Regions from separate parts of the Mus musculus genome. Here regions 1 and 3 are each reported to be linked to region 2. The links are microRNA targets in miRTarBase. Many come from high-throughput screens and were not tested one by one. Region 2 holds a microRNA gene; each other region holds the end of a gene's coding sequence.
The links. Region 2 holds the annotated microRNA mmu-miR-1a-3p (UGGAAUGUAAAGAAGUAUGUAU, at 3,508-3,529, opposite strand). A microRNA usually pairs through its seed, bases 2 to 8, with sites in the 3' UTR of a target mRNA and lowers its output. Matches are read on the target gene's strand: a 7mer-m8 pairs with bases 2 to 8, a 7mer-A1 pairs with bases 2 to 7 and ends in A, and an 8mer does both.

Region 1 (9,972 bases), not on the chromosome of region 2:
GGCAGACTCACAGATTTTGCAAGAGGAACCAAGAATATTGAAGCCCACTTCCTGGGCCACATCCATAGCAGCCAAACAGAGGTAGACACGGGTTGCTTCCAAAGTGAGAAAGGGTTCTATGGTGTGTATCAAGATGCCTGGTCCTGGGATGGAGACTTCCAGACACCTGACCTGAATCATGAGCCGAGAATCACTGTTTTGTTCTTCTCACTCTCATTTGATGGGTTGGGTTATCTAGCTTAGTGGATTGACTGTGTGCAATTTAATCAAACACAGATTGAGTCAACACAGACAAAGTCCTTTAGCCAGTCTAACTAATCTCATAGCAATATTATCCACTTCAGCCAGAAGTAGAAACATCCCAAGTGTCCAACAGGTAAATGAAAATCCAAATGTGGTAGATTCACACACTTGAATACCATTTGCTCCAAGACCAAGAAGAGTCAAATTCATAGAGGCATGAACGAGAATAGTGACCGCTGGTGTTGGCAGAAGGGTGTTGAAGGGTACTGTTTAATGGGTGTAGAGTTTTAGTTTCTCATATTAAAAGAGCTCTGTGGATACATAGTGTTGACGATTGTGTTAACAGGTGAACATATACTTTAAAAGAGTAAGTTTACAGGGTTTTATGTTATGCTCAATTTTACTCTGCTGTGTTGAATCCTTAGGCAAGCATAATTCTGTTTCTAGGGCCTTAAGCAAGTGTTTTGAATCTTTAAGCAAGCAGTGCTGTTTCTAGTGTCTCCACCCAGAAGTAAGCATTGCCTTCTAACCTCTCTGCTCTCTTTTTGGCTAATTTGCAATAGCAAATGACTCGGAGTCAGCAGATGGACGAACTCCTGGATGTCCTCATTGAAAGTGGAGGTGAGCGATTGCCTTGCCTATTGTCCACACCCATGCATGCTCTAGAACATGGCCTCTATGACCTAGGTCAGGAGCACACTGAGTCAGGTACACCAGGTGGTCTGCTAGTAGCACCAGGTCCTCTGGGCTTCAGGTGTGCTTTGTTAGCAGAGGAGAGAAACACAGTGGATGCTTCCTTGCCACCTTTATCCTGAGGATGCTCTGCATGTTTCCTTTCAACCCATTCCTGCCTCCCCGAAAGTGTGCTCTGTTGCTACATCATTTTTCTGCTGTTCTAATTCCACAAAAAGAAAAGGAAACAAGAAGATAGTGAAAGGATTTTGCCCGTTACTCAAACTCAATCAGCCATCTCTCCCGCTGGGTACTCCATTCACGCTTAAATGTTCCTCAACTTAGAAATAAAAGCGACCAGTGTGTTCTTAAACCCAGTCATTTATTCATTTAAGAAACATTACGGAATGTGTGCCTCGTATGTGAATCCGAGGGAGCATGTGTGAAGGTCAAATGGGAACCCGGGGCTGAACCCTTAATCAACAGCATTTGAAGTTTAACATAGATGGAATGCCAGGCATCATGTGGAGCTCAGTTCTCCACCGGATAACTCCTCATTTCTCTGGAGTGTAGTGTGTTCATCAAGACAGACAGTGACCGAGAGAACGGGAGTTTCTTACCTTAACATAAAAGAGGGTAAAAGGGAGGGGTTCAGGTGCAGGTGTGTATTTAAATTTTGTCATGGAAGATGACTGTTCATACCTGATGCTCCTCCCCCTTTTCTGCTGAGAATGTGGCAAGGATGCCGAATAGTGAGGACACAGAAGGGACTGTGGGGGAGTTTAGGAAAGAAGAGCCATGAGTTAGTCATGAATGAGTTGAGTTTTCTAGAGAAATGCAAGTTTGTAAGGTAGAATTAAATGCAATTAGACCAATTAAATGCAATTGGGGCAGGCTAAGATAAAGTAGATGGGAGCTTATCAGGGTGGAGAGTGTTGTTAATCTAGAAGGAAAGGGCAAACGGTAGAAATAACTTCAACAGCAGATCAGAGAATATGATCCAGAGCAAGAAAGAAGTGATTCGGGAGATACTGAGATGCAATGATCAATCAACATCCAGTGGGTGAGATGTCTAAGAATACATTAGAAATAATTGCCCTGGAAATACTCCATACATGAGCTAGAGAGGGGAAAGGGGAAGGACAGAGAATGGGGCATTCTGCTTATGACAGAGCTCTTAAAAGGATGTGCTATGCAAAGACAAGGCTCACAGTATACCACAGAGCAGGGATGCTGGCATCACTGGAGGAGATGGGAAGGACAAGGAACTGAGAAGCCAGCATGAGTAATGTGTGATTTTTAAGGATGCTATGGTCTTAAAGAAGTAAGAAACAGTGGCCTGGCAGAGTGGCTGTGAGCTGGGGGACTGTTTCCAGAAGCAGCGGAAGTGTGATCAGCAGGCCTAAAGTAGGGGGACAGGCTGTCCTAAAAAAACACCAAGGAGTGATGAGAAGGGTGTATCAATAGTAAAATAGTTGTGAGATGACACTCATCCTTCATTTACTGCCCAACAGAGAGTATACCAGAGATACAAGGTCCTCCAATGACAGCTAGTGGAAGGGAATGGAGCCAAGAAGCCAGCTGAGAAGAGTTTGAAAATAACAAAGTAGAGGTCCCAAGGCATGGGGTATTTTGGGAAACCTTAGGAAAGGAAATGGAGAGAAAGAGCAAGTAGGGGCAAGCCCAGGGCTAAGTGCTGAGCAGGGACATATGGTCATCTTCTCTGCTTTCCTTCGAGCAACTCATTTATTCCAAAGACCCATCATGTAGGGTCAGTTTCAGGTGACTTCACAATTCATGCTGTGCTTTGCCAACAGAAATGCCAGCCGATGCCAGGGAAGATCATTCATGTCTTCAGAAAATTCCAAAGATCCCTGGGTCCTCCTGCAGCCCAACTGCCATCCCCCCGAAGCCCTCGGCTTCCTTTGAGCAGGCATCTTCGGGAGGCCAGATGGCCTTCGATCACTACGCCAACGACAGTGACGAACACCTGGAAGTCTTATTGAATTCTCACAGCCCCATCGGAAAGGTGAGCGATGTTACCCTCCTCAAAATCGGAAGCGAGGAGCCTCCTTTTGACAGCATCATGGATGGCTTCCCAGGGAAGGCTGCGGAAGATCTCTTCAGTGCTCACGAGCTCTTGCCTGGGCCCCTCTCCCCGATGCATGCACAGTTGTCACCTCCTTCTGTGGACAGCAGTGGTCTGCAGCTGAGCTTCACGGAATCTCCTTGGGAAACAATGGAATGGCTGGACCTCACTCCACCTAGTTCCACGCCAGGCTTCAGCAACCTTACCTCCAGTGGGCCCAGCATTTTCAACATCGATTTTCTGGATGTTACAGATCTTAATCTGAATTCCCCTATGGATCTCCACTTACAGCAGTGGTAAACACCCGAGGTACAAGAGCTACGAGAGCTCAGTGGGAATTCAATGGAGGAAAGCACGATACCGGAAATGTGTGTTCCAAAAGATGAAGTGGGGAAAATGGGGAGGGAAAAAAAAAAACAGCAACGGAGGTTTTTGTGACAACTAACCAGAACAAACAGAAGTCAGCTATTAAAATATGTCTAAATGTAATATCTACCAGCATTCAGTAACTGTTAATAACTTCAGTGATGCATTCAAAAATGTGCTTTGTCAGAATAAGAATGCCAAAAATGTTTTTTCGCTGCCTTATCTCATACCAGTTTTTTTGGGGTTTTTTTTGTTTGTTTGTTTTTTGGTTTTTTTTTTTTTTGTGTTGTTATTTGGTTTTCTTTTTGCCCACAGTTTGTCTCAGGCAATACTGGGACATAGACTGACCCCATTAGCTTTTGTTATGAATTTACTAAACTTTCTGTGGAAGGAGAACAGAGCCTCTGCCGCGGGTGTGGGGAAGCCATCCTGTGCTTGAGGCAGCACACGTGTGTCCATCATCATCAGTCAGAAGAGCAGGGCCTGTCTCACCCAATCGAGTCCTTAAGACAGAATAATCAGAATGGTCAGAGGGACAGACCAATCAATTCCCAGGAAAGCAAAAGTGACTCAATGTCCCTTGACTCCCAAATGGTCCCACTGGACTGGTGATCACTGGTGACAACTAACTAGCTTTGTCCAGAGAATCCACCCAGAACACGGTGCTTTTTAGCCAGTAGTCCACCTCTATGTGCATCAGCAATGCATAGCAGGTGAGAACTTGAATCACAGAAACTTCATGCCATGGATGGAGACTCCTGAGGCGCTCAAATACTACTACCTCTAGTTCCAAAGACTAGAGCTAGATGATCAGAAAGGCAACTGGAGGCCCAGGGAGCCGTACTGGGACAAGTTAGAATTAGAGAACGATGTCATTTAACATTCCGAGAAAGAAATAACCATGAATTGCTATTACAGGAGTAACACACAGGGCCAGCTTCTTTTTCTTCTTTTTTATTTTTCTTTTCTTATTGTGAGCAGAGGGAATTCACCTCAGTTCATCTTTCTCTCAGTACTTTTCTTTCAAGATATCAATCCTTTATGACTCTTTTGCTTTTAATTCTCTCTCTCTCTCTCTCTCTCTCTCTTTCTCTCAAAGGAGAGGTTTCAGTTCTAACAAGCTACCATACTCCTATTAAAGCCATTTTTTTTTTTAGAATATTAAAAGTCCAAACTCTCTTGCCAAACTCTTTCTTCACATGCGCATTGGCTGAAAACAGAATTTACAAGAATTTCTTTAGGAAGAAACTGGGGATGTGGCCCATTGGTCACAAAGTTTTTTTGTTTGTTTTTGTTTTTGTTTCAATTCTTGTTTGATTTATGGACAATCTTTGGTTTGTATTGCTCTGGAGAAATTGGAAATCATTGCAGAGTGAAGATAAATCAGGGCACCATGTATAGTAGAGAATATTTCAGTAGTTTTCCAAACGAGAACACAATTGCACACTGTAAACAACAGGAGTGTGAAGGACCACAGTCTTGAGGAGTTCTTGTTGCCCTGCGTTTGGTGAAGGCGTTGGGGACCGAGGAAGACAACATACAGTTTGGCCAAGGCTCTCAGAGGCTTGCTGTGGCGCCAATTCAAGTATTACAATGTTGCATGCTGTAGAAAGTAGCTGTTGCTGTTGTTTTGTTTTGTTTTAATTTAAGTCACCAAGGCACTGTTTTATTCTTTTGTAAAAAAAAAAAAAAGTTCACTGTGCACTTATAGAGAAAATAATCAACAATGTTGTGAATTTTTGAGAAGACTTTTTTTTTTTTTTTGATAAACCAAAGATTTAGAAATCATTCCATTGTCAACTTGTAAAAAAAAAAAAATGTTTGAACACTGAGTGTTTTTGGTGACTGCTACTCTGGAAGCCACCAGATCTTCTGGTAGGGAAGGAAACACAGATGTGTACACACATGTAGTTCTATACATGTGCCTATGGAGTATGTCTATACACACATACACATATGTATGCAACTATGTGTGTGTGCACATATCTGAAAGGTGGCATTCAGAGGGCCTCCGACCCTCAGTCCGCTGTGAATGATGCGGAGCCTTTTGTCACTACGAGTTGCTGATTGATCAACCAGACTCCATGTTGCCTCTCTGTATATGACTTAGGACGCCAACTCAATGCTCACAGCCACGTGCTGCAGGGGAACAAGCTCCTCCTGACAATGAGTATGGATTTGAGAGGACAAAGCCCGGCAGTGAGTTTGGATGTGATGGGATAGAGTGGCTTCACCATCCTGTGGCTGCCAAGGCTAGGGCCTTCTCTTACAGAAGAGTCTAAAGGGAGTATGAACTTTGTTCTGACATTCCTTGATCTGCGTTGTGCTTGAAAGGCTCTGCGTGATACACTTTCCCTCGTGTTTGTATGCAATCAGAACCACAGATCCAGAGATAAAGCTTAGCATGAAGATGAAGCTGGGGGAGGAACCTTATTGCCACATTCCAAACACTGGTTTGACCTCCGACGCTGATGTTGCATTTGAGTCTGGATGAAGCTTCCTGCTCTGTACATTTTTCTTTAGGCTTTGGCTGAACCATGTATGTTATCCCCTTCTTGCTTCTTTGGAAAACAAATCCACACAGTGTCTTGCCTCTGAGACCTTCTCTGAGTGCTGATAATTTTCCCTTTGGGTATCCCTGTCTGAGAGATTGGTTAGACAGCTCTGTTTTTTAGTTAGACTGTGGGGAACTTTTTAAAATAGTATCCAAACTGACACACACACTTCACACTAGACGAAAGGGAAGATGGCTCTGGTTTGCTAGTGCAAGCCAGTACAGCTAGAATGGGCCCCTGGATACTTGGCCTCAGCTTGCTCCTGCAATCTCCCCAGGCCATGTGCATATACCCTGTCTTCACAGCACAGGTAGCAGATTGGAGTAGCTGTGAGAAGATTGATGAAGACCGATCAAATACGTGCCTTCAGCTGTCTCCTATTGTGGCTTTTAAGTTCCTTTTATTAATCAGTCAAGTCCTCTTGTGGTGGCAATGTGACAAGCTAAGAGGTGTGCAGAGATGGTCACCCTTGGGTTTAGCAATGTTTCTAGAGCCTCAAGTGACCACATAGTTAGGAGGTCTGTAATATCCCCATGGTAAGCTCAGTTTTGGCAGCCATTCCTACTGTAGCTACAGGACAACAGGTCCTTCTAGATCTAAAGGAGCTCAGATTCTCCCCATGCAAGTTCTTCCAGTAAACTAGGGTTCAGTAATTATGCCTGTGTCCTAAATGTTATCAAGACAATGGGGTTGAGGGGGAAAAGTGAAGAAGAAAGGAGACAGAGGAAGAGGAGGGAGGGAAGAGGAGGGAGTAAGCAGATGGGAGAGGAGGAGAAGGAGGGGACAGAGGAAGGAAAGAAGCAAGGAAGGAAGAGAGAGGGAATGAAGGAGAGAGAGAAGGAGAAAGGAAGGAGGCAGGGAAGCAAAGGAAGGAGAAAAGAAAATCATGACCCAACTTCTTGACCCATGAAACTCTTGGTTCAGCTATGACGCCATAGTACAAAAAGTAAAAGACAAGAGTGGAAGACAGCACCCATTCTGAGCAATGGAGTGATTCCCTCTGCAATCAGGAGCCTCAACACATCTTCTAGTGGAAGAGTCCTATAGACCTGCAGCCTGTGCCTTTCACAAACATTAGCTGGGGACAAGAACAATTAAAATCTACCCCAAGCTTTTAAAACAATTCTTCTCCAAAGCTATCTATTTTATGTTCAATCAGCTTTCCTAGAGCTAATAAGGCCGAAAACTCCCTCGTGACCCGTACTACCCAGGGCGTGGCCATTTGGTGAGCGCCACAGAGCACACAAAACCTTCAGGGGTTGATTCAGCATGGGTGTTGAACATCTGAGGGATTGCAGCTCCTCTAAGCAAGAATGCTGAGACCCTCTGAGACTCTCTCAGCTCTTTGCACTCAAATTGTCTTAGCAGTGATAAAGGGCTCTTGATTTTTCCAGAAACTGGAGTTTTTGGTTTTGCTTTTTTTTTTTTTTTTCTTTTCATGAAAAGCTACTAGCACACAAGCTTGTCTCTTCTTCCAGGGTCACAGGACAGTAGTGTAGGTTCAGAGGCAGATGCTTCTGAGACTTCCCTAGACAGAGACGTCAACAGACATGGAAGAGACAGTCCCATTGTGCTGAGAACACGGTCATGTGGGTCCAGAGGCCCTCGCTAGGAGAGGAGACTCTGTCAGGAAATGGGTTCAAGACAGGAAGGAATTTGAGAAGACCTTTGTTGCTGCCTGGCAGGGATATTGTTCTAGGATTCACTGGATTCGATGAGCACGAACGAGCTCCCTTCTGATCATAAGGAATCAATGGTCCCCCCACAAGTAACCCCCTGCAGGGCTCTGGGTCCCATGATGGGCATCAGGAGGCCACACTTCCCCTGGATGGTTTAGATGGCCTCACGTGCAAAGGTGCACAGCAAGGGGACCCAGAAACACTCTTTTAAATGTTTTCCAAAGGAGCAAACCCCACACTGCTCCAAGGGCTCTGTTCCAATGACCTTGTCAAAAGGTCCAAGGGCAAAGGGCTTCTGAGAGAGCAACTCTCACTGGAACACGAAGCAGTGTTCTGGGAAGAACAGGGAAACAAGCATGGTTCTCTCAGCCTCTGCGTGGTGGTGTTTTCATATTGGTCTCCTTTGCTCAGTATAGTCTGAGAGAAATGTGGCTCACTGGGAGAGCAAAGGAGCAATGGCTAAAATACCAAAGTTGGCATGTGTCTTTTTTTAAAAAAATGCATATATTTTTAAATAAAATGTTTATTTTAACGAGATGTAAACAGTTTTCTCCTTAACCAGATAATATGCCTGGGTGTGATGTTCTTTATACATGTCACTTCCTGTTCTCCTTTCGGCAGCTGGAGAAGGGGTTACCGCTGTGATCCCCATCTTGCAGATGAAGAAACTGAGGCTGAGAGAGGCTGAGTAAATTGTCAAGGGTGACATAACTTATAAACTAGCAGAGCCCAGTGTCAGACTTTGACTTACCCACCTCCAAAGCCGCTGCCTGTGCACACAATGAGCACTTTGTGATACAGACACACAAACTGCACTGACATCCCTATTGAAATACACACAAGCACATACAGGTGTGCTTCCTTTTCCAGCTTCTGTATCCATCAGTCTGGCAACAGTTCCAACTGAAGAATGCACGGAGTAAACTGGGGATCAAGGTGGCCTGTTAGACGTACACAGCATCCCTAAGGTATAGATTTTTATGTCTGCTTCTCACACTCAAGGATATTTCCATCTGTCCCCCCGCCACCCCCATTGGAGAATGTGTGATCCCACGGAGGAGCTGTGGGGCTAATGGATGACCTTTGAACCAGACAGAGGTCCCCAAACCTGGTTTAGATGAGAACTGCTTTTTCTCTGTGGGGTGGCTCTGCCTTCTCTCACATTGTTCTTCGCGTACATTGGGGGCTGTTGTACAACTCATGCATAATTACAAGGTCATGGTTAACATCAGTAAAATGTAACAATTCCGACACAAGTGAATTCACTCCTAAGGGTCTCAGCAGAAATCTCACTGTTGGCTGTCAGTGACTGAGCTTCTCAGAGGTCTGGAGAAGCGTGCATAGGTTCAGTCTCAAGTCTTAGATCCCCCAAGCTAAAAAGTAGGGTCATTTGAACCTCATGGATTAAGAGAGGAGGGTGGAATCCTTACAGACTTTGTATTGACTCTTTGTGAATTTCCCATTCATGCCCCTCAGTGTCACTCATCTCCCTGACCCTCTGTATCCACCCTGCCCCTGCAGCTCCCCTCCCCCAAACAAAACAAACAAACAAACAAACAAACAAAAAACCCATCTCACTGGAAGTTGCAGTGTGTCATACAACAGAGTCTATTGACTAAACATCTTTACTCACAAATATTCATTGCAATGAGTCGTTGGTCTGGTTCAAGGCCTCTGGCTTCTGCTACACAATCAATACTTAATCCTCACTGGGATATCCTCTTAGATACCCTGTTGTTGCCCTGTGTCATGGAGATACTGAAGCTGGGGTTCTGCAGGTCCAGCCCCTTCATGTGCTCCAGCAGTTCACAGATCGGGTAGATGTTGGGGTGGGCCAACTCAAAGCCCTGGATCTGGGCCTGGGTGGTAGCTGACTTGTTTAGCCCATCAGCTCTCCTGTGCCCACATCACCAGGGCCAGCTTGTCTTCTAATGCATTGTATGCACAGCGTCAAATCCACAATTTCCAACTCTTTGGGGGTTCTTTAGTTCAAAAGCCATGTGTTGTGTATCCAAGATTCCGGTCCTGCTCAATGTAGCTCTTTTTCACAGCAACCCACTCCCGTTATGTTAAACCACTGTTCTCTCTGTCCCTATCAAGAGTATACATGAGGATAAAAAGACGTACTTCCCTCATTTCCCACACAGCTTTCAAGGAGACTATCTCCCCCTAGATCTCACTGTTTCTATTTGATGAAGTAAAGAGTCTATAAGAAAAGCATAGGCATTCATATATGCATGTATGCATTTGGGACAGAGAAGACAAGCTTTGTATCCAATCTATGATACAAATGGCTATACACCAACCCTCTCTGCATGCTGGGTTATGCGACAGATATGGCACAGCCCCCCATTCTTTAACGATTCCT
Region 2 (9,972 bases):
CTACCTCTATTGGTCCACACCACACTCAAGTCAACCTCAGCCCAACCTCAAGGAGGGTGCCCTGGACCTGGCCATGGAGCAGGGAACAGCACTGTACTGCAGAGTGAGACCTGCAATCCAAAGTGCATGGCTGCTGAGTCAGCACAAAGCCTCACAGAAGGCTGGCTACCCATTCTGCTAAGGTGGCAGCGATTAACGCAATTGTACGCACATCCCTCCCTCCTCCTCGATAGCATCTTCGTCATTGTGCCCGGTTGCCCTGGCCCTGAATATCACTCAGGTTCCTTCCTTTTATAAAGTTACAACATTTTGGTGTTGGGGTAAGATGCAGCTCTAACAATGTTAACTGTGACTTGGATTATGGCAGACAAAATAGCCATCCTGCAGCCAACCTAACCACACCTAATAGTTTATTCTTCGATGCTTCTCTTCACATGAAGTCAACAGTTCTAAATGAGATTGCTGAGGAGCCCAGCACACAGTCTGAAGAACCTATGCCATAAAATGCTTTATCGCCCTCGAGGTACGACATTATTTATTTAGCTGGAGTCAATGTCAGAACCCCTCTTTAAAGAGGCTGGCACAATTCACTTGGCCAAAGAAGAAGAAGAAGAAGAAGAAGAAGAAGAAGAAGAAGAAGAAGAAGAAGAAGAAGAAGAAGAAGAAGAAGAAGAAGAAGAAGAAGAAGTGGAAGAGGAGGAGGAGGAAGAGGAGGAGGAAGAGGAGGAGGAAGAGGAGGAGGAAGAGGAGGAGGAAGAGGAAGAGGAAGAAAAAGAAGAAGAAGAATAAAAGAAGAAGAAGAAGAAAAAGAAGAAGAAGAAAAGAAGAGGAGGAGGTGGAGGAGAAGAGGAGGAGGAGGAGGACAAGGAGGACAAGGAGGAAGAAGATAATTGATAACTACACATGCACACATAATCTCTCACTTAGACACTCATGTGGCTTAATCCAATCTGCAGACTGCCCAGTCCTAAGTATCAGGTATAAACCATAGTATGGAACAATAAGCTTGCTACCATGATGCTTGACCCTATTGCTCCCCCGCCAGACTGCAGGACCTGTGACTCCTGTACATGCACATCTGGAAGTCGAAGAGCACCAATCAGTGCCTCCCTATTCCAGTGAACTCAATAAAGGGAGCACATGCCTTCTCACGGCTTCTGAGTCCCCAACCTGTTCCAGGTGGTGACATGTCCTCTTTGCTCCCCAGGGGCCTTATCTGGGCTCCTTTACCTCTTAGAATCCTTTGGCTACATGTCTGGGTGGTACCCAGACTAGGAAAGCCTATGTGGGGATCCCTGTCCCAACCCAGCCTGCCTCACCTCTCCTTCATGTGAAAATTCTAAGACACCATAGAAGACTGACTTGGCCAACCACATAGCATAATGGTTTGGAGTCCTGTGAAAACCCATACAGCAGACATCACAACCACACACCTTCTCAGGTATCACCAGAAACAGGTCCTCACACACCTTGGGGATGGGAGTAGACATGTACGGAAGGGGAGAAGAGGAGGGGAGGGGTGTCCAGGGGTACTCGTTTTAACTCAGCGGGCAGAGAGCACCAAGGTGATTTATAACCAAGGAGGCTGAGGCTCGCTCCCTGCAAACTCTCCAGTTTTACTGCTCCGTCAAACCTAATTCCAAAACACTAAGGCTTTTATTTAAACACCACATCCTGCAATAAAGCTTTAATGTATGACAGACATATCTAGCGGAAGACAGTGGCGTGCCCGTGGCCGCTGGCAGCTTCAGTGGCCGCACACCGGCTGTTTACCTCCCTGTGGCCGGAGCTGGAATTGAGTAGGGCATAGATGACCTTCCGGGGTCATGGAGCACTGACAGCTCTGGGACCAGTGACCAAGAGGGAGGTAGTACCAAGGGCAAGGCTGCTTTCTCGGTGCCTGTCGCACCCTCTGTGCCTGGAGACTGAGATCAGGAGAGAATTCGACTTCCAGAAGGAAGACTGAAACATTCAGGACAAACCCTTGACTATGGAGTCACCTCAAGAAAACTCAGGATGGAAGCCACCTGTGGGCTCAGATTCCTCCATGGCATTTGGTCTGAGGTTCCTCAACCTAGCTGCTTGGATCATCTGACTGCTCAAGCCCCAACATTTAAAGCTGACAGAGGGGTCCTGCCCTGCTCCCAATCCTGTTCCTACCAAAGGTCATGGTGCCGAACACAAGGGGGTACCTGCCACACACAGCCGACGGGGACAACTGACAGCTATACCCACACTTACACTCTCACATGCATGTGACAAAGAGCCCCCAGGCCTGTGGAGGAGATGCTTTGGGGGGGAGGGGTGCTGACTGCAGCTAGATCACAGGCAGCCGCTACTCTAAGACCCAGAACTGAAGCCAGGCAGATGTTAGTCACAGATAGACAGCTTTCTGCTGGACCCAGAGCCCTTTACCCTGCATCTACCTGGGCAGGACAAGCTCTGTGGGAAGGGCTTGGAAGACCCTGCCCTCCTTTCCTGGGACCCAAAGGTTGTCAACCCGGCCCCTTCTCCCGGCCAGACCAGCTGTCAGCAAAGCAGGCAGAACAGGGGTCCTAGGTCGCTAGTGGACTGCTCAGCAGAAACTTGGCTAGCCTTCCCAGGAAGAAGGTGGCTTCAGGTTGAATTTGGTGAGAGAGTGTGAAGGAATGATGCTGAGGCTCTGATGGGGGCAGCCAGGGAAGGAATGGGCCCAGGGTCGGCCGAACGAAATAACCTATTCCCCCCACCCCCCCCCCGGGGTCCCTGGATGAGCTGCTGTACCCAGGTCCCCAGAGCCAACTCCTCCATCCAGACTGGGACAGCTTCAGACCCTGGGCTCCCTTTATCTGAATCACCATGGGTGGCCAGGATAGCCATGAGTAGAGCTGACACTGAGATTGTCAGTGAGCAGATACAATCAGCACACAGTGGGCAGCAGTGTCTGCGCAGGGCTCTCCACCTCCCCTCCCCACCAGGCCCTGTGAGCCAGAGGCCAGCAGGAGACTCATCCCTCAAAAGCCTTTACCACGTGACTACCAAAGTCTCTCCCCTCCCTTCATGCCCCACCACCACCACCACCACCACCACCACCACCACCACCACCAAGCACCACCTTTTAGAACTTGCTGCCTCTCCCAGTGGTCTGAGCAGTCCCTGCCCGGTCCCCACACCCTTTCTGCTGGAGAGGCCTCCTTCAGAGCACAGCAAGGATCAGTACAACTCCATTCCCAAGCCAAGCTTCCAGACCCCCAACCCTGCTGGCCCCGCTCGGGACCCCAGGCCTGCCAGAGGGCCTCCTCCCTCTGCCGCAGTCAGCACACTGAATATTTAATGTCTGACGAGCACTTCCACCTGCTGACACAGGCAAAGTGGCAGAACAATGCCAACAGGGACAGGGACACAGCCGGTACCCTTACAGTCGGCCTCCCGAGGCCCTGCCGGTCCATCGGTCCATTGCCTTTCCCGAGCAGCCACCCACAGGGCATGGGCCACCCCTCAGTCTGGCGAGAGAGTTCCTAGCCTGAAATACATACTTCTTTACATTCCATAGCTTAGCAGGTTCATATGGGCATATAAAGAAGTATGTGTCCCAAGCAGGTAGGTTCAGTGTGCACAAGAACAGGACTCCGAGGAAGTGGCCCTCCACAAGCTGGCCCCCTTTTGGTGTCGCCTGTGTCTCAGTCTCTCTCACACATGCACACTTGGTAAAGACTGGAAGCAGACAGGGCGTGCTGAAAAGTCTCAAAACCCTTTTCATCCCCACCGTTGCTTACACCTCCCTCAACGGAATGAGTTCTTTCCCATTCTTCCCAACAGAGGGAAGTCACATCCCAGACTCTAAGAAATAGCATCCAACTCTACTAACATCTTCTCTCTCCTTCCTGCCCACCTTGTCACCACCAAGGACAGTGAGGGTGGGGTAAGGAGACAGAATTCAGGAGCAGCTCCACCCACGAGCCATCAGGGACCCGTACCCCAGACTAAGAACCAGTCACATCCTTTTCCTGGGGACTTGAACAGCCCAGCTCCCTGAGGACAGATGAAAACAAGCAGTTTTGTGAGTCTCCAGAAATGAATCAAAGGGCTTACCTGGACAGGCGATGGCTCCCCTGGCAGGACCCTGATGAATTGTTTCCCAAAATGAGAGTCCCCGAGAGAAGGTCTCAGTGCCTCTTTCTTTGAAGTGAAGAAGAAAGATAGTGATCTTGAATTCACAGTGTCTAGGGGCTACTAAGAGGTGACCTACTCCTTGGCCAGCTCTTTGGGGCTCAGTCTGGCCTGAGAGTTGATGCCAAGCCAATGAGGGAGTTTCTATTCCAGCTACCTCCTTCTTTGGTCCCCTTCCCTCTTCTCGCTTCTGTACCCTCTGTCCTCCTGGTGACCTACAGTCTCCAACGCCATCCCCTGCTATGCAGCATAACCATGTAAGATGGTCGTAAGGAACCGCTCCCATGGAAATCTGGAGGCTATTTCTGAAGGGCCCTGTCCCTCACCTAGTTCCTGATCCATCAGTCCCTGATCAATAGTAGTTTGTAGCTACACAAAGGGGCTGTCCGCCTGTTTGCTGTACCAACTTCTGAAAAAAAAAAAACAACAAAAAAAAAAAACTATAGGCTAATTTGAAAAAAAAAAAGTTCAAGGGAAATGCTTGGGAAACTTAGTTATATTTTGTCTCTCCTCTTGATTTTTGAGATCTCGCCGCAAGTGAAGTGGAGGCTCCCTTCTGCCCTACCAACTTCTACACCCAGAGTGAGGAAGAAAGGAATGTGAAAAACAGAAAGATGGGCAGGACTTCCAGGTCAGAGCCTCAGCAGCAAAAGGGAGGCTATCCTCAGACTGAGAGAAAGAAGGGGAAGAAGAAAGCAGTGGTCTGGAGGGGGGGGGAGGAAGAGGAGGAGGGAGAAAAGGAGGAAGAGACTCACATGCCTGGGGACTCACCATCACCCAAGGTGAGCCTGCAGGTAAAGTGCTGGAACCCTGGAACAGGTGTCCCTGCAGGCGGCTACCTACAGAAAGAGCTGGAGACACCCACTGCAGGAGAGGTGGTGCAGGCACAGAGGGTCTGGCTGGGCTTGGACCTGGTGTGGGGCTGCAGGGCAGTCCCAGCTCCTGAAAGAACATTCAGTTCTTCCGTGTCAGCAGGACAATGTCTGTCTCTGGCATGACCTGACCAGCCCTGTCCCTGTGTGGAAACACCCCAGAGAGCATCCAGACTCTCCCATTCCTGGGAGGGCCCTGTCTCTGCAGAGCCTGCAGCATGTAGAGGTCCCCTGGTTGTGGCAGCTGTAGCTAGGCAGGGTGGAAAGAGGATTAGGATACTGAGAGAAGCTTGTGCAGCAGGAATGAGCGAGGGACAGAAACTGTGCCCATTTCCCATGTGGTTGCTGTTAAAATTTCATTTCCACATAGCCAAGGATAAAAAGGGCAGCCAGTCCATCAGCCTCAGCTTCCAGCTTCTGGAGGTACCCCTGGTGTGACTGAGCTCCCACTTAGGCTCCCTGAGAACTCTAAGAACAAATGCCTCTCTGCCCTCTGTCCCAACTCCCAGGTGTTCATGATAGCGTCTGTATGTCAAACAGAAAGTTGGGGGGACCTGAAGAGCAGAGATTGATTCAGTCTGAGCCCACATCTTCAGGAGCTGCTCATTCAGGAATGAATGAGAGTCACTTCTCAAAAAGTTTCCCACCTTGACAGGAAAGTGGTGTCAGTCACCTCCAAGTAGACCCCTCTGGCATCTGGGGTGGGGCCTTATCCTGAGCCCCCCCCCCCCTCACACACACACACTATGAACACTAGTTCAGCCCTAGCCCCAGCCCCAGCTCCAGCCCCTGGATGCCTGACACAGCACACTTCTGATCCTGGCAGGGCTGGGAGAGCTTCAGAAATCCAGAGTCCCAGCCCATGGACGGCCTTGTCAGCGCTCCTCAGAAATCCCCCACCCGCAAGCACTCAAAGGCTTTGTGGCAAGTTCCAAGGTAAGTTTAGCCACAATCTCTGGTGTTGCCCTCAACTGGTTAATCTATTTCCTCAGCTCCCGTGCCAACCCCCTAGAACAGCGGACGCCATCCACCCTGCCCTCCACCAAGCATCCAGGGGCGCTGCTTTCTTGCAAAAAGCCGTATGTCAAAGTTCTGCATCCCGGTTGGACGCGCCCTCCCAACCCTCCCAGCCCTGCTGGCTGCTGGCTCTGCAGTTTTCCAAATGTAGATGATGCTGGGAGAAACTCCAGGCGCCCCCTTGAAGCCACGCGGCACCAGCACCCACAGCACCCACCTCACCGGAGGGCACACCCCCACCACTGCCGATAAGTTTTCAGGGGCTTTCCTAGCTGGTGGGCAGCTGAAGCAGCCAGCTGAGAGGGACTCACCAGGGAGCCCTGGGCGCCCCTCGGGCTGGGCTGGTGACCGCGGCAGCCGTGGCGGCGGGCGCAGGGTCGCGGCTCCCCGGGAGATGCTGCAGCAGCGGCAGCAGCGGTAGCCACCTCCTCCCGGAGCCAATCGCAAATGCAGGGGTGGGGGCGGGCCGGAGCTCCCATTGCGTCCGCACTTGGTGGGGAGGGGGGGGCAGAGAGAGAGAGAGAAAGAAGACACCCCGACTCCGCACCCCTGCCCTTCCCCCAGCCCTCCTGCAGCAGCGCAGACTTAGCAGCAGGGAAATCTTGAGAGAGAAGGAGGAAGGGGGGGAGAGAAAGGGGAGGGGAGGGTAAGAGAGAGAGAGAGAGAGAGAGAGAGAGAGAGAGAGAGAGAGAGAGAGAGAGAGAGAGAGAGAGAGAGAGCGCTGATGCAGAGTTAAGGAGACAGAGCCCAGCTGCACACCTTGCCCGGCCGAAGCTGCAGGAAGCTCCTGCACCCTCAGCCCTGTCGGTACCAGGTAGAGGTCAGAGCAGAACAAAAGGGAAAAAGAGAAAGGCCCCGCGGGTATGCACGCTCACACACGCACGCAGCCCCACAGACCAAGATTCATGCATGCAGGGGGAGGGGAGGGCAGAGACGGGATGGCCTGACCCAACGCTGGTGGGGCAAGGGGCCCTTGGATCAGGAGCGACCTCACCTTGGTAGTTCTTATATACCCCGCCAAACATCCCAAACACGCGGCCCGGCCAAGTGGCCCCCCTCGGGCTGTGCGCCCTGACCATATTTAGTCAAGCAGGGGAAAAAATAGCATGTCAGCTGGGCCGAGGCTGGCCAGGCAGCAGGGAACAGGGTGGGAGCCCCGGCACCATTGACAGCGGTCCTGGGTTGCCCCGTCCCCCTCCCAGCCCCTCCCTTACGAGCCTGCTACCGGCTGTCCCTGTCCGAATCCCCCTGCTATTTTTAGCAAGGCCCAGTACAGAGGTGCCTCCTACCCAGTGGGCACTGGCCTCTCTCTGAGGCGACACCAACTCATTCCTGAGTGCCCTGGGGAGACTGGAGTTACTCCAGGGAACAGGGCCCAGGGAGGGAGATGGGTGGCTCCCTGGCCTTAGTCCCCTAAAGGCCCATGTGGGCCAGGGCCTCAGTGTCTCCAGAGTGATACCTTTTTGCTCAGAAGTGGGGTTGGGTCAGGTGGCAACAGAGCCACTGGTTTTCCTGGGGATCCTAAGCCAACCCCAGGTCATGAGAATTGCAGGTCACCTTGGGCAACAGAGAAGGCCAACTCAGTTGTCCTGTCTCCTCCAGAACCTTGGCATCAAGGGTGTGTGGCTTGGAGACCCCCATATCCACAAGTACACTTGGCGATGGCTCCATTTTGTTCCCACCTGGGTTGTATAAGAAACACGGCTTGGGAACATGGCCCCACTGGGCTGGGATTCCTGAGTCCAGCAGCCTGGGATTGGCCAACTATCCCCTTTGAGCAAAGTGACATTGAGCGAGTCTCTACCACCCTGCTACTGTCAAGTACAGGCCATTGAGACGACTCTGGGACTATGGGTGGAAGCTTCAAGCTCCTCAGAAGGCATGAGTGTCCCTGTGCAGTGCATGGGCATCCAAAGACTTGCTGCTGTTTTAGAATCCACTAGAAAACCTCCTTCCTCCTGTACTCAGAGAAGTGTCCTCTCTGTACTGGCTAATCTGTCCTCACAGGAGCAAGGAGAAGCTCAGCTGGGGCTACCATGCTACCCTAGGTCCCCTGGATATTGTGATTATGTGTGGTTAGGCATGGAAGCACAAGCTCATAACCCCAACATTCAGGTGGTGGAGTTGGGGAGTATGAAGCAAGCCTGGGCTACGGTGAATATCAAGCCATCAGGAGCTACATAGCAAGGACAGGGCATGGTGGAGCTGGAGGTTTTAGCTAGAATCGTGGGGTGTTCAACTTGAGATTGGATGAGTCTTGCAATCACTATGGGTCAGCTCAGACAAACATACAGAGACATTTTCCCACTGGTGTGTGGGGTTCATACAGAGACTTACCTATATCTGGGGACTCTTTAGTTACCCACAATGAAGCAAAGCCAACCAAGATCCTCTGCTCCACCCAGTGAGTTCTCAGGGACAGGAGTTTCATGCATTTTATACCTCAGCAGGGGCCAGCCACAAAGCCTGGACAAGCCAGTCCTGTCCTCCACCCAGGAGCAGGAGTTAGAGCACCCTTGTCATGGGTTCTAACCAATAGTTCTCCCCACAAGCCCACTGGCATTGGGGCTTAGCAAGTGAATTCCTTAAAGCCAGCTTGTCCTTGTACCCACAAACACAAAGCTCTCAAGAGTGGTGTGTGCCTCTTATTTCTTCCCCCAGGAAACAGGACAGAGGAGACACTTCTCCCATCCAACTGTTTATCTTCACTCCCACCCTGAGCAGTCCATGCCAATGATGCCACTGCAAAATGCAAGCAGCTCCTTCAACAGTGAGATCTTACTAAGCCTGGGCAACTGCTCCCCTAGGCACATGTCTGAGAGGCCCCTGCAGTGGCATCTGTGGTATAAACAGCACAACCCAGATGCTACCCACTAGTGACCAGGGAACCATGCACGGCACATTGACAGGATGGAATATTATCTGGTGATAAAATCTAAAGCACTGCTACATGCCATGACTCTTGAAACTATGATGTGGAGTCAACACCAGGGGCCACACGCTGAGTGTGCTCGATGTGAAACTCCCAGAGTAGAAAGATTCAGGAGTGGGAGAGGAGGGGATGACTCATGAGAAGTGGGTCTCCTGGAGGTGATGAGATGATCCAGAGGGAGATAGGAATGACTGATGCACAATATTGGGTACCGTAGATACTATGCAAGGATGTTCTCTTCAAAAACGGTTCCTTTTATCTTTGTTTTGAGACAGGGTCTCATGTAACCCGAGTTACCAGCAAACTTGCCACGTAGCTGGGGATGACCTCAAACTTCTAACCCTCCTGTCTGGACCTCTGGAGTGCTAGGATTACAGGTATGCATGCCACTCCCAGCCTGGTGCCTTTATCTTACAGGAATTTCTCCTCCACTGAAAAATAGACAAACCTAGCTGAAGGCCTAGTCCACCCTCTCTCCCCACTGACCCCCATTCCTGGGCTCAGACCTGGACATGGGTACCTGGATCTTCAAGGGCCTAGCTATAGCTCCCTTGGGACCATTCTCCAAGATGCTGTAAGTAAACCCCACTTCCCCTACTCAGTCCTGTCTAGAGCTGGAACTTGCTGTGAAATGGACAGAAGATTGTTGGTCCCTGCCTTCTCAAGAATACTCCAGAACCTTCCACCATGTCTCTTTGTGTGAGAGTCAATCTTCCTTATCAGCCTGCTAGGATTTAGAATCATGGTGGAAACACACATCTGAACACGTCTGCCAGGGTGTTTCTGAGGAGACTTAACTGAGATAGAAAGACCCACACTATGGGCCACAGCATCCTGTGGGCTTGAGTCCAGTGTGCTGAATAAGAAGGAAAGAGTAAGCTGGAAAGCACTACCCATCCCCCTCTGCGTCCTGAACTCAGACGCAGCGCACCTCGAGCTTCTGCCACCGTTAACCCTCACTGTGATGGACGGCATCCTCAAACTGTAAGCCAACAGATGCCC
Region 3 (9,972 bases), not on the chromosome of region 2:
CAGCCTTTGAAAGAAGAGCCTGTAAACTGTATGGTCCAGAGACAAACATACCTCGGGAATTAATGCTTCATGAAATTCACCACACCTAAGAGGAAAATATTAGCTGCCTCCACCTACTCTTGGCTAGTTTGTTCACTTCTAGGAAGTCCTTTTACCATCTGTTGAGAAGTCAGAAAGCATTTGTTAAACCTGCCTTGATTCTAAGCCCGTGCTGTTGAAAATTTGCACATTGAACATGGACCCACTTGTACATAGAATTATTTCTTCAATCAAGTGTGACTCTAAGTATCATGTACATTTGCAGGCTCCGACCACCTTTGTAATAACGGATGTCATCACTGTTGCTAGGATACCACATTCCTCGTTTGAGTGTACAGATGAACAAGTCTTTTAATTCTCACCTTACATGAAAAGGTTAGCTGAGATACAATGTGTGTTATATTAACCATATCATGTTTAAGTTATTAGGTTCAGAGTATTTGTAACTTATTGTTATTCGGCATGCCATATGGCTTAGGGTATTTGAATAATCATATATTTACCATTAAAACTGTGATTTAAAGTATTGCTAATGAAGTCTTAGCACTTTGGGTATTTTAATTGTTCTTATGGGTAGCAGTAGATGATTCAGTGTTGTTGGGAAGTTGTTTCCCAGATGTACTGAGTGGGGTTTTTGTTCTGGTCTTTTGTTTTTTGTTTTTTGTTTTATTTGGTGAGTGGTCCAGAGCTCTGAGCTACTTTTCTAGACATTTGAAACTTCCTTCCAGGTGCTTTGTGCTGATTGTGTGTCAAAATTTTATCTGCCACTGTAGGCAACAGATAAGTAAGTAGTTAATTTGTCTCCAGCACCACACAAGGCATTTTCTATTTATTGTGCATATTCACTTTCAATAATATTCTGAACTGATTTTTTTTTAAAAACCACAAATCAGTAGAAAGGCTGAAGTCATGACTTAATAAAGTTAAATTGTTTATTTTTGTATAGTGACCTTGGTTATTTAAATCTTTTTGTTTTTTATTTGGTTTTCATGATAAGGTCTTTCTGTGTAATATCCCTGGCTGCCCTGGAACTCACTCTGTAGACCAGGCTGGCCTCTAACTCACAGAGATCCTCCTGCCTCTGCCTCTCTGCTGGGATGAAAGCATAGCTGCTATCACCACCACTGGCTGTTATTTTAATCTTTTCTGTATAGTTTTCATGTCTATTTGGACGGATGGTCTAGTGTGCTTCCCTGTTACTAATGAGCAAAAGCACTTGTGAGGAGTATGTTTATTTCAGCTTTCAGTTCACCACTTATCACAGAGGGAAGCCAGGGCAGGAGCTAAAGCAGAGACTAGGAGAATGGGCCTTCTGGCTTGTTCCCTGTCTGGTGTTCAGTTAGTTTCTTTTACACTGCAGACCCACCTGCTCAGGCATGGCATAGGCCACAGTAGCTTGTCAGGATGTCTCGCAGACACACCCCAGGTCAGTCAGATGACAGCAAGTTTCTGACTAATACTACCCCATCCCAGGTGACTAGGTGACAGGTGACTAGGTATGTGTGGCATTGACAGCTTCAGCAACCGAAACAATAAAAGTGCAATACTATAGAATATCATGTCTTACAAATACTTTCCTGGATGCAATATTCATCCCCAATTTGATCCTCAGCACTGCCAGAACAAGGGGAAAACCTTCCATAGAGACAGAGAAATCTGAACTGAACACATTCTTTACTCAGTATTCTCTCCCTTCCTTTCACTCTGCAACCAAATCACCTCTGCATACTAAACTTCCAGCCACAGTGCTTTCAGCTATAATTGGTGCTTGTGGGAATTTGCTCTAGTCTCTGCTCAGTCACTCCCTCCCAGGCACTGGCTGTGTGGTTTTGAGGAGCTCACACTGGTCTGCTCACATGGACTTGAGTTGTGCTTTTAACAAGTGAAACAGGATCTCCCACTTGTAGGTAAGGCACACACGGCCAGAGCAAAGTGACCTGTGTATAATTGTGTCCCTTGCATTTGATTTGAGCTTTGGTATTTGATCTAGTGTTAATGGGATGTCATTAACCCAGGCTGGCCTGGAACTCACGATGTGGCACGGGAGATGCTCTCATTACTGAGGCTCTTGGTCAGCTTCCCAAATGCTAACACTAAATTTGAGCTACCATGTGTGCATATGGTGGTCTGTTGTTGACCCTGGGTGTCTTCCTTGATGGCTCTTCATGCTATTGTAGCAGTCTCTTTTTTTTTTTCCATTTTTTATTAGGTATTTAGCTCATTTACATTTCCAATGCTATACCAAAAGTCCTCCATACCCACCCACCCCCACTCCCCTACACACCCACTCCCCCTTTTTGGCCCTGGCGTTCCCCTGTACTGGGGCATATAAAGTTTGCGTGTCCAATGGGCCTCTCTTTCCAATGATGGCCGACTAGGCCATCTTTTGATACATATGCAGCTAGAGTCAAGAGCTCCGGGGTACTGGTTAGTTCATAATGTTGTTCCACCTATAGGGTTGCAGATCCCTTTAGCTCCTTGGGTTCTTTCTCTAGCTCCTCCATTGGGAGCCCTGTGATCCATCCATTAGCTGACTGTGAGCATCCACTTCTGTGTTTGCTAGGCCCCGGCATAGTCTCACAAGAGACAGCTACATCTGGGTCCTTTCGATAAAATTGTAGCAGTCTCTTGCTGAACCCGGAGCCCACTGATTCTGGCTAGTGGAGCTATATGGGATGCCCAGGGATATCTGTCTCTGCCTCTCAAGTGCTGGGATTCCAGATGTTGCCATCTCTGTCTGACTTTTTACATGGATGCCAGAGATCCAAAAAATACTGGTCCTCATGCATGTACAGCCAGCACTTTATCCTTTGAGCCATCTCCTTGCCCTGGGAGCGCAGGGTAGGAGCATAATCCTGATACTCTATCCTACTCTAATTTGCTAAATAGGCTGCTGTCAAATTGCCTTCTACGGAGTTATGTTTACTTGTGGATTTGTGCCACTTTTCGTCAGAGTATCTTCTTTGTGCCATGAGTGGTAGTTAATACAGAGATTTATATGTTAGACTTCTGAGAGTGGCTCAAGTGTTTTATGCTAAGTGAGACCTCTACATTACCCTCTAAGGGCTCAGGGGACATTTTGTGTGAAAGAGTAGAAAGACTATGAACTAGGAGATAAGAGTGCTGGAGGAACATCTGGACAAGACATGGCCTCTGCACTCAGGAACTCATAGCTGTACAAGGTGGAGGAAATCCACATTCCATCACGGATGGATGGGGGAGGGGCTCCTGAGCGCCAACCCCTTCCTAACAGACTATTCCTAACAGACTATTGGCAGTTAATGCTTGCTGAGGAGGGAGGGAGAGGGTGTCATTTTTTTCACTGTGTACTCACTGGTACATTACTCATGATCCAGTAAAAAATAAAAATAAAAACTCCTCAAGTCATGCTCATACAAGCAACCTTAAACTTTGGGTCATCAAAACAAACAAACAAACAACCCAGAACAACTTGTATAGAAGATTCCCATGTGTAAAATTGTCCCAAAAAGAAAAAAGGCAGAGGAATCCTGGAAAGACCAGTGTGTCATGTACACACATCTTGTCCCAGTCTTCCTGCACTGCGAACTGTTCTTAATTCTTAATTAATTCACTTTTCTTTTTAGGAGTCTGTGCCTTGGAAATGCCTTCATTACCTAATGTGTGAGGGCTGCTGATGTGTGATAAGCATTCAGTAAATATAAAGTGAATCTAAATCAAGTTTTTATGTTTTCCAGGTTATATCTATATATAACCCTGAACTCACTATGTATTTTAGGATGACCTTGAACTCCTGGTCATCCTGCCCTTGCCTCAGTGCTGGGATTATAGGTCTGAACCACACACCTGATTTATGCAGCAGAGGGTGCAGGGCATGCCATTCTGCCAATAGAGTTAAAGGAATTCTAATCAGCACTTGAGAGGAAGATCTAACCAGCGAGGGCTACATATAAGACACTCAAAAAGGAAAAAAAAAATGTCATCATAAATTAAAACTAAGTTGCAAGTCCACCTCCCCACTCTCTGGGGCCTCCAGTTTCTCAAAGGTTAGGCCCATCTTCTCTCACTGAGGCCAGACTAGGCAGTCCTCTGCTGTATATGTGTTGGGGACCTGGGACCAGCTTGTGAATGCCGCCTGGTTGGTGGCTCAGTGTCTGAGATCTCAGAGGTCCAGGTTAGTTGAGACTGCTCATCTTGGGGCCATTCTTTTATTCAACCCACCAGTTACTATTTCACCTTGTGCTTAGTGAAAGAAAGACTGCCTCTGTAGGGCAATTTCTATACCTTTCTGTGCATTGCAGATAGTTTCCCATTGACTTAGATAAAAGCAGTTGGCTCCCAGTTTGAGATGAAGTGTAAGGTGAAATCATGAGGCGTTTCAGACAGTTGTATCCAATCAGGACGTTGAGAGTGATAAAACACAAGGTCAACTGGCTTTCCCCTTTTGATAATGCCTAGGACCCAAGCGCAGGGATGGTTCTACAATGTCAGGGTGGGTGGTTCTCTTTGATAACCTAATCAAGAAAAGACCACAATGCATGCTGAGAGGTTTGTCTCCTAGTTGGTTGTAATGCCCTTCAAGTTGGTTTTCTGTTGTTTTTTTTTTTTTTCATTTTTCTCTCCTAGACAAGATTTCCCTGTGTAACCCTGACTGTCCTGAAACTCAATTTGTAGACCAAGCTGGTCTCAAAACTCAGAGATCTGGCTTCTACTACCCCCTGGGTACTAGGATTAAAGGCATGTGTCACCACTGGCTTTTTTTTATTTCATGTTAATATTAACCATCATCATGGGAGAGTCCAACCTCAGTTCAAGGCAAGGTTTCAAGACTGATTTCTCTGTAGCTCTGGCTGTCCTGGGATTCACTGACTTCAAACTCAAGAGATCTGCCTCCTCAGTGCTGGGATGGAAGGCATACCTCACCATATCCAGCTAAAAATAAACTTTTAAAAGTTTAATAATAAAAATTAAAGCTGGGCTGGTGAGATGGCTTAGTGGGTAAGAGCACTGCTCTTCCGAAGGTCCAGAGTTCAAATCCCGGCAACCACATGGTGGCTCACAACCATCCGTAATGAGATCTGACTCCCTCTTCTGGAGTGTCTGAAGACAGCTACAGTGTACTTACATATAATAAATAAATCTTAAAAAAAAAATTAAGGCTAGGCAATACTGGCACACATATTCAATCCCAGTATTTGGGAAACAGCATGGTCTACAGTCACCAGGATAGCAAGGAGTGGGGGCGGGAACCAATCAAAATGCCCTTAAGCACTTCCTGTTACTTCCAGGTTGACTTAGACCAGACTACCTGCAGCTATGAGATCAGGCCAGGCAGTTACTTTGGAAGGGTTTCGGACCCACTCACATTTCCCTGGGGTCTCTGCCAGTGGAAACACTCCATTGCATTTTTTCAGACAAAGCAGTGTACATCAAGGTTCCTTTCCTCTTGGTTACTCATTTTTGAAGTAGATGCAAGTACATTTCCACAGCTAAACTAACTAAAGAACTAGTGTTTGCTCCCCCTTTTCATTTCTGGCTTATTTGTTCTATTCTGGAAATTTCCATCCTTTACTCAAATAAACCCTTTGTGGAATTACAACCAGCTTTTGCTTTCACAGAATGGCCAACTGACTTCAGACTATTTCTGGTGCTCTGCATCCTGCTATCTGGCCCTCTTGTTTCTTTTACACCAAGAAATGAATAATCTTCACTCTTTGAGGGTAAAGTGAGGGTTGGGGGATTAAACCTCATAGTGCTTATTTGCTTGGCTAGATCTCTGGTAATTCTAGACTCACTTAAAAATTCAAGTACTGAAGACTGGTTAAAATGTTAAGTTGCTCATTAAGTCTTTTTACTATGGCATAAACTTCAAAATGGTAAGGAAAGACTAAACTCCTTTATGATCACTTATGATACTCTCCAAATCAGTCAAGCTAACCAGTGTTGTGCCTTCTGTAAAACCTCACGAAGCAATAATCCTATCTCCAAGGAAAAGCAAGAGACTACAGACTATAGGTGGACTGTTTCTATATACCCAACTGTGCTCCTCTGATTGGCTTTCATTTCTCCCATCAAGACCATGGAAAGGGTAACACAACCAGAAACTTTAAACAAAATTTTATTACACAAAGGTTGTCACATAATTGGATACTTCTCTACTTTGTACACAATCATTCCCACCCTCCACAGAAAGGCTGCTTCTGAACTCTCATGTGGTGACACAGCGCTACAGTCCTGATGCTCACAGAACAGTAGAGATGCCTCAGTGATTTAAGTTGAAAGCAGGACACTGGTATATGGCTCTTGCACCCAGCATCAGGAATGTACAAATGTCTTTATTCAAAAATACAAAATAAATTATCTGTAGGCATGGACAATGACAGCAGTAAACCATTATATATCGTCAAAGGAAACCAGTAACTGATGATTACAGTGGTCAGCCAGCCTTCTCTTCAGTCATTTTCTCCAGGTGACTTCTCTGAAGTTATTGGTGAGGAACCTGCCTTGAGCTTCCTGTCACAGTTCATTGATAAGGGCAAAGCACTACTCTAGGAGTTAGAACATGCCGCCTCCCATACCCCCTCCCATGCCACCCATTGCACCCATTCCAGGGTCCTTCTCTTCTTTAGGAATTTCTGTCACTACAGCTTCGGCTGTAGTTAGCAAGGAGGCCACCCCAGCAGCATCCAGTAAGGCAGTTCTCACAACCTAGAAAAAATTTTAGTAAAATAATTTATGAATAAAAACCATGCAGAGAGCAAGACATCCAGTGTGTATGAAATGCTGAATCACTTACCTTTGTTGGATCAATGATCCCTTTTTCCACCATGTTCACAAAATCTCCAAGCATGGCGTCATAACCAACTTCTGAGGAACTCTGCAGAATTTTCTCAACTATCAAAGATCCTTCAACACCTGCATTCTTAGCAATCGTCATTGCAGGAATTTTAAGTGCTCTTTTAATAATTTCTATACCTATAAAACAAACACATTTTTACAAATTTGCTTTGTCTTCTCTTTCTGGGGAGCCAGAGGACTTAGTTTAATCCTTAGCACCAATGTAACTCCAGGTCCAGGCTACCTAATGCTCCCTTCTGGCCCAGAGAATACTGTAAATGCATAGCACACAAGACATGAAGGCAAAATGCACCCCCCAACACACACAAAATAATTAAAAAGAAAACAAGAGTTTAGTAAATGAGAAGACTTATCCAATCCTACCATAGGTGAAATAATTCCCCCTGTAAAATGTGTTACATTGCTAATCAACAATACTTTTCAATAAGAATGAGGCCACAAACTCATTTGAAAGATGATCTTTACCTATTTTCTGGTCTTCATTAGCAGGCTTTAATGAATCCAAGGCTGGGATGCACCGAAGCAGAGCGCAGCCCCCTCCTAGAACAATGCCTTCTTCAACAGCTGCTCTTGTAGCATTGAGAGCATCAGTAACTCTGTCTTTTTTCTCATTCACTTCAACATCACTTGTTCCTCCAACCTAGAGATTAAGAAATTCCAGTTAGCATGACCTTTCCCATTCAATGACCACCTAAAGCCACCTAGAATGCAGACATAAGCTGGGTACAGCATCATGTAAGTCATGACCCCTGCAGTTGAGAGGCTAAAGCAGGTGGGTTACACCAACTGAGGCCAGCTAGGGCTACAGCAGAGTTCAAAACAAAAGCAACAACAAAAGAAGCAACTCTAGAATAACATATATATTATAATGTGTCCCACTGACAAAATCCTGAACCTCCCCACACAAGCTGTACTGCTGTGTGAGAAAAGGATACTAGCCAAACAGCAGTGCACATGCCTTAAATCCCAGCACTTGGGAGGCAAAGGCAGATGGATTTTCAGTTCAAGGATAGCCTGGTCTACTAATTGAGTTCTAGGACTGAAAATCCTGTCTATAGAGTGAACAGAATGAGTTCCAGGACAGTCAGGGTTACACAGAGAAAAAGGAAAGAGAAAAGAGCGAGACTGGGAAATTGGGTAGGGGTAGACTGCACAACACAGCACAAGAACGGTTTCATACTCATGCATAATACCAGTAGGGGATAGATGCCTATTTATGGCTCAGAAGGCATTGGGATATAACCCAAATGGGCCAAAGGTCTTGCTTGCCCTGCAAGCCAATGGCCTGAGTATTCCTGGAATCACAGTGGAAAGGTAGATGACCAACTGCTGGTAGTTGCCCCCGATTGCTACATGTACTCTATGGAAAGTTTGGTCATATGCACACTCAAAAAACAAAACAAACTAAAAATTCTGGGAAAGGAGATATTCATTTAGTTACTATTGGTAAATACCACAGAACCAGTATCACGATACTCAGCCTAAAATGTTTACCGGCAAGTCAGTCTTACCTTCAACACAGCTACTCCATCTGAAAGTTTAGCAAGTCGCTCGTTCAGCTTTTCTTTTTCATATTCACTAGTTGTGATGTCTAGCTGCTCAGTGATTTCTTGAATACGTTTTTCAATGTGAGCTTTGTCACCTTTTCCTTTCAAAAGCATGGCATCATCTTTGGTGACAATGACCTCCCCAACTTTTCCTAAGTCATGAGCTTGAACATCTTCAAGATTTAGATTCAACCCCTCTTCTCCAAACACCTATAAAAGCAGTGTGCTATTAGTGGCTTCCATTATACCAGGCTTATTACTATATGTCACAGATATTTTGTAAGAAGAAACAGCTTTTCAGGGCTAGCAAGATGTCTCAGCAGTCAAGAGCACTGGAAGGCTATTCTGCTCTTCCAGGTGTCCTGAGTTCAAGTTGCAACATGGCAGCTTGCAACTGTCTATAAACTGCAGTCCTATGGGACTGGATGGACGCCTTCTGGTATGCATACACCATACAAACAGGCAGACAAAACATCCATATACATAAAGCTTAAAATATCCAGAAAAAGAAATGCTGTTTTTCTTTGAGATGTCAAGACCACTGGTATACCAGAACAAAATCACTTAAAGTTTTGAGAAGAATGTTTAACTATGTCCATTCTCACGCCAGGCTCAGCAAGTTAGAAACATGACCTTAATCCAATACCTGTGTACCAAGCAAAAAAATAGCAAGCCAGGCGTGGTGGCGCACGCCTTTAATCCCAGCACTCGGGAGGCAGAGGCAGGTGGATTTCTGAGTTCTTGGCCAGCCTGGTCTACAAAGTGAGTTCCAGGACAGCCAGGGCTATACAGAGAAACCCTGTCTCCAAAAACCCAAATAAATAAATAAATAAATTACTTAGCAACAGTCCTATCTATTTATGAAGTATACATTGTATTTGCAGCCTGGAAGCATAGACATCACTAAGCAAAGCAGTATGACAAGATTTACTTACTGCACCACCAGTAGCAATAGCCATATCTTTAAGCTGGTTCTTCCTATTGTCCCCAAATCCTGGAGCTTTGACTGCCACAACCTGAAGACCAACTTTTAGCCTGTAAAGAACATTTAACTGTGTAAGATGTAAACTGAAGGGGGAGTTGGGAGAAAGCATCTAATTTAGTTCCTGGTAAGTTCTAGTACTATATACAACTATTAGTACTATATAACTCTATCCCAATCCTACTCTTTTCCCACAACTCCTGGTCTGAAAAAAGACAAGATGGGGACCTCTACTCATCAAATCTTGTTCCAAGCAGATCCCCTTCTTAAACAAATGCTGCCCTTATATTGCAGACACAGTTGTGAGTCAGTACTAACCATACCAGTGTTAAAAGACACGTATAGTTCTCTCTGGGAGGCTGTGGGAAGCAGCGGCTCAGGGATTATGCACATTTGAGACCGCTTTAAGATGGACTCATAATGCATAGAGCACTATATCATACACTACACCTCTAAGACACACAAGCAAAACAGGGAATTAATTTTAAAAAGCAACAGCATTCACCTTCTACCTAAAAACATAACAACCCAATCTATTACCTGTTCAAAACCAGCGTGCTTAGAGCT

Region 1: the mRNA of Myocd is a reported target of mmu-miR-1a-3p. Seed matches in the 3' UTR shown: 7mer-m8 at 4,250-4,256 and 7mer-A1 at 5,157-5,163.
Region 3: miRTarBase lists Hspd1 as a target of mmu-miR-1a-3p. Seed matches in the 3' UTR shown: 7mer-m8 at 6,337-6,343.

The regions. Positions count from the first base shown.
Region 1 is chr11:65,171,777-65,181,748 of GRCm38, reverse strand. Myocd (myocardin) reads left to right here. Exons shown (of 13, transcript NM_146386.3): 12 at 807-864; 13 at 2,733-5,188. The coding sequence ends at 3,304. Among named protein-coding and RNA genes, the nearest start is that of Arhgap44, 14 kb to the right of the region's middle.
Region 2 is chr2:180,382,653-180,392,624 of GRCm38, reverse strand. It overlaps Mir1a-1 (microRNA 1a-1), which reads right to left and starts at 3,577; the gene lies at 3,501-3,577. It overlaps B230312C02Rik (RIKEN cDNA B230312C02 gene), which reads left to right and starts at 6,740. Exons shown (of 7, transcript NR_040745.1): 1 at 6,740-6,852; 2 at 9,246-9,347; 3 at 9,573-9,972. It overlaps Mir1a-1hg (Mir1a-1 and Mir133a-2 host gene), which reads right to left and starts at 7,021. Exons shown (of 4, transcript NR_045331.1): 1 at 6,350-7,021; 2 at 4,921-5,091; 3 at 4,072-4,158.
Region 3 is chr1:55,071,715-55,081,686 of GRCm38, forward strand. Hspd1 (heat shock protein 1 (chaperonin)) reads right to left here. Exons shown (of 12, transcript NM_010477.4): 7 at 9,946-9,972; 8 at 9,359-9,458; 9 at 8,388-8,633; 10 at 7,342-7,516; 11 at 6,815-6,993; 12 at 6,120-6,726. The coding sequence ends at 6,574. Coq10b (coenzyme Q10B) reads left to right here. Exons shown (of 5, transcript NM_001039710.1): 5 at 1-988. The coding sequence ends at 89. Among named protein-coding and RNA genes, the nearest start is that of Hspd1, 11 kb to the right of the region's middle.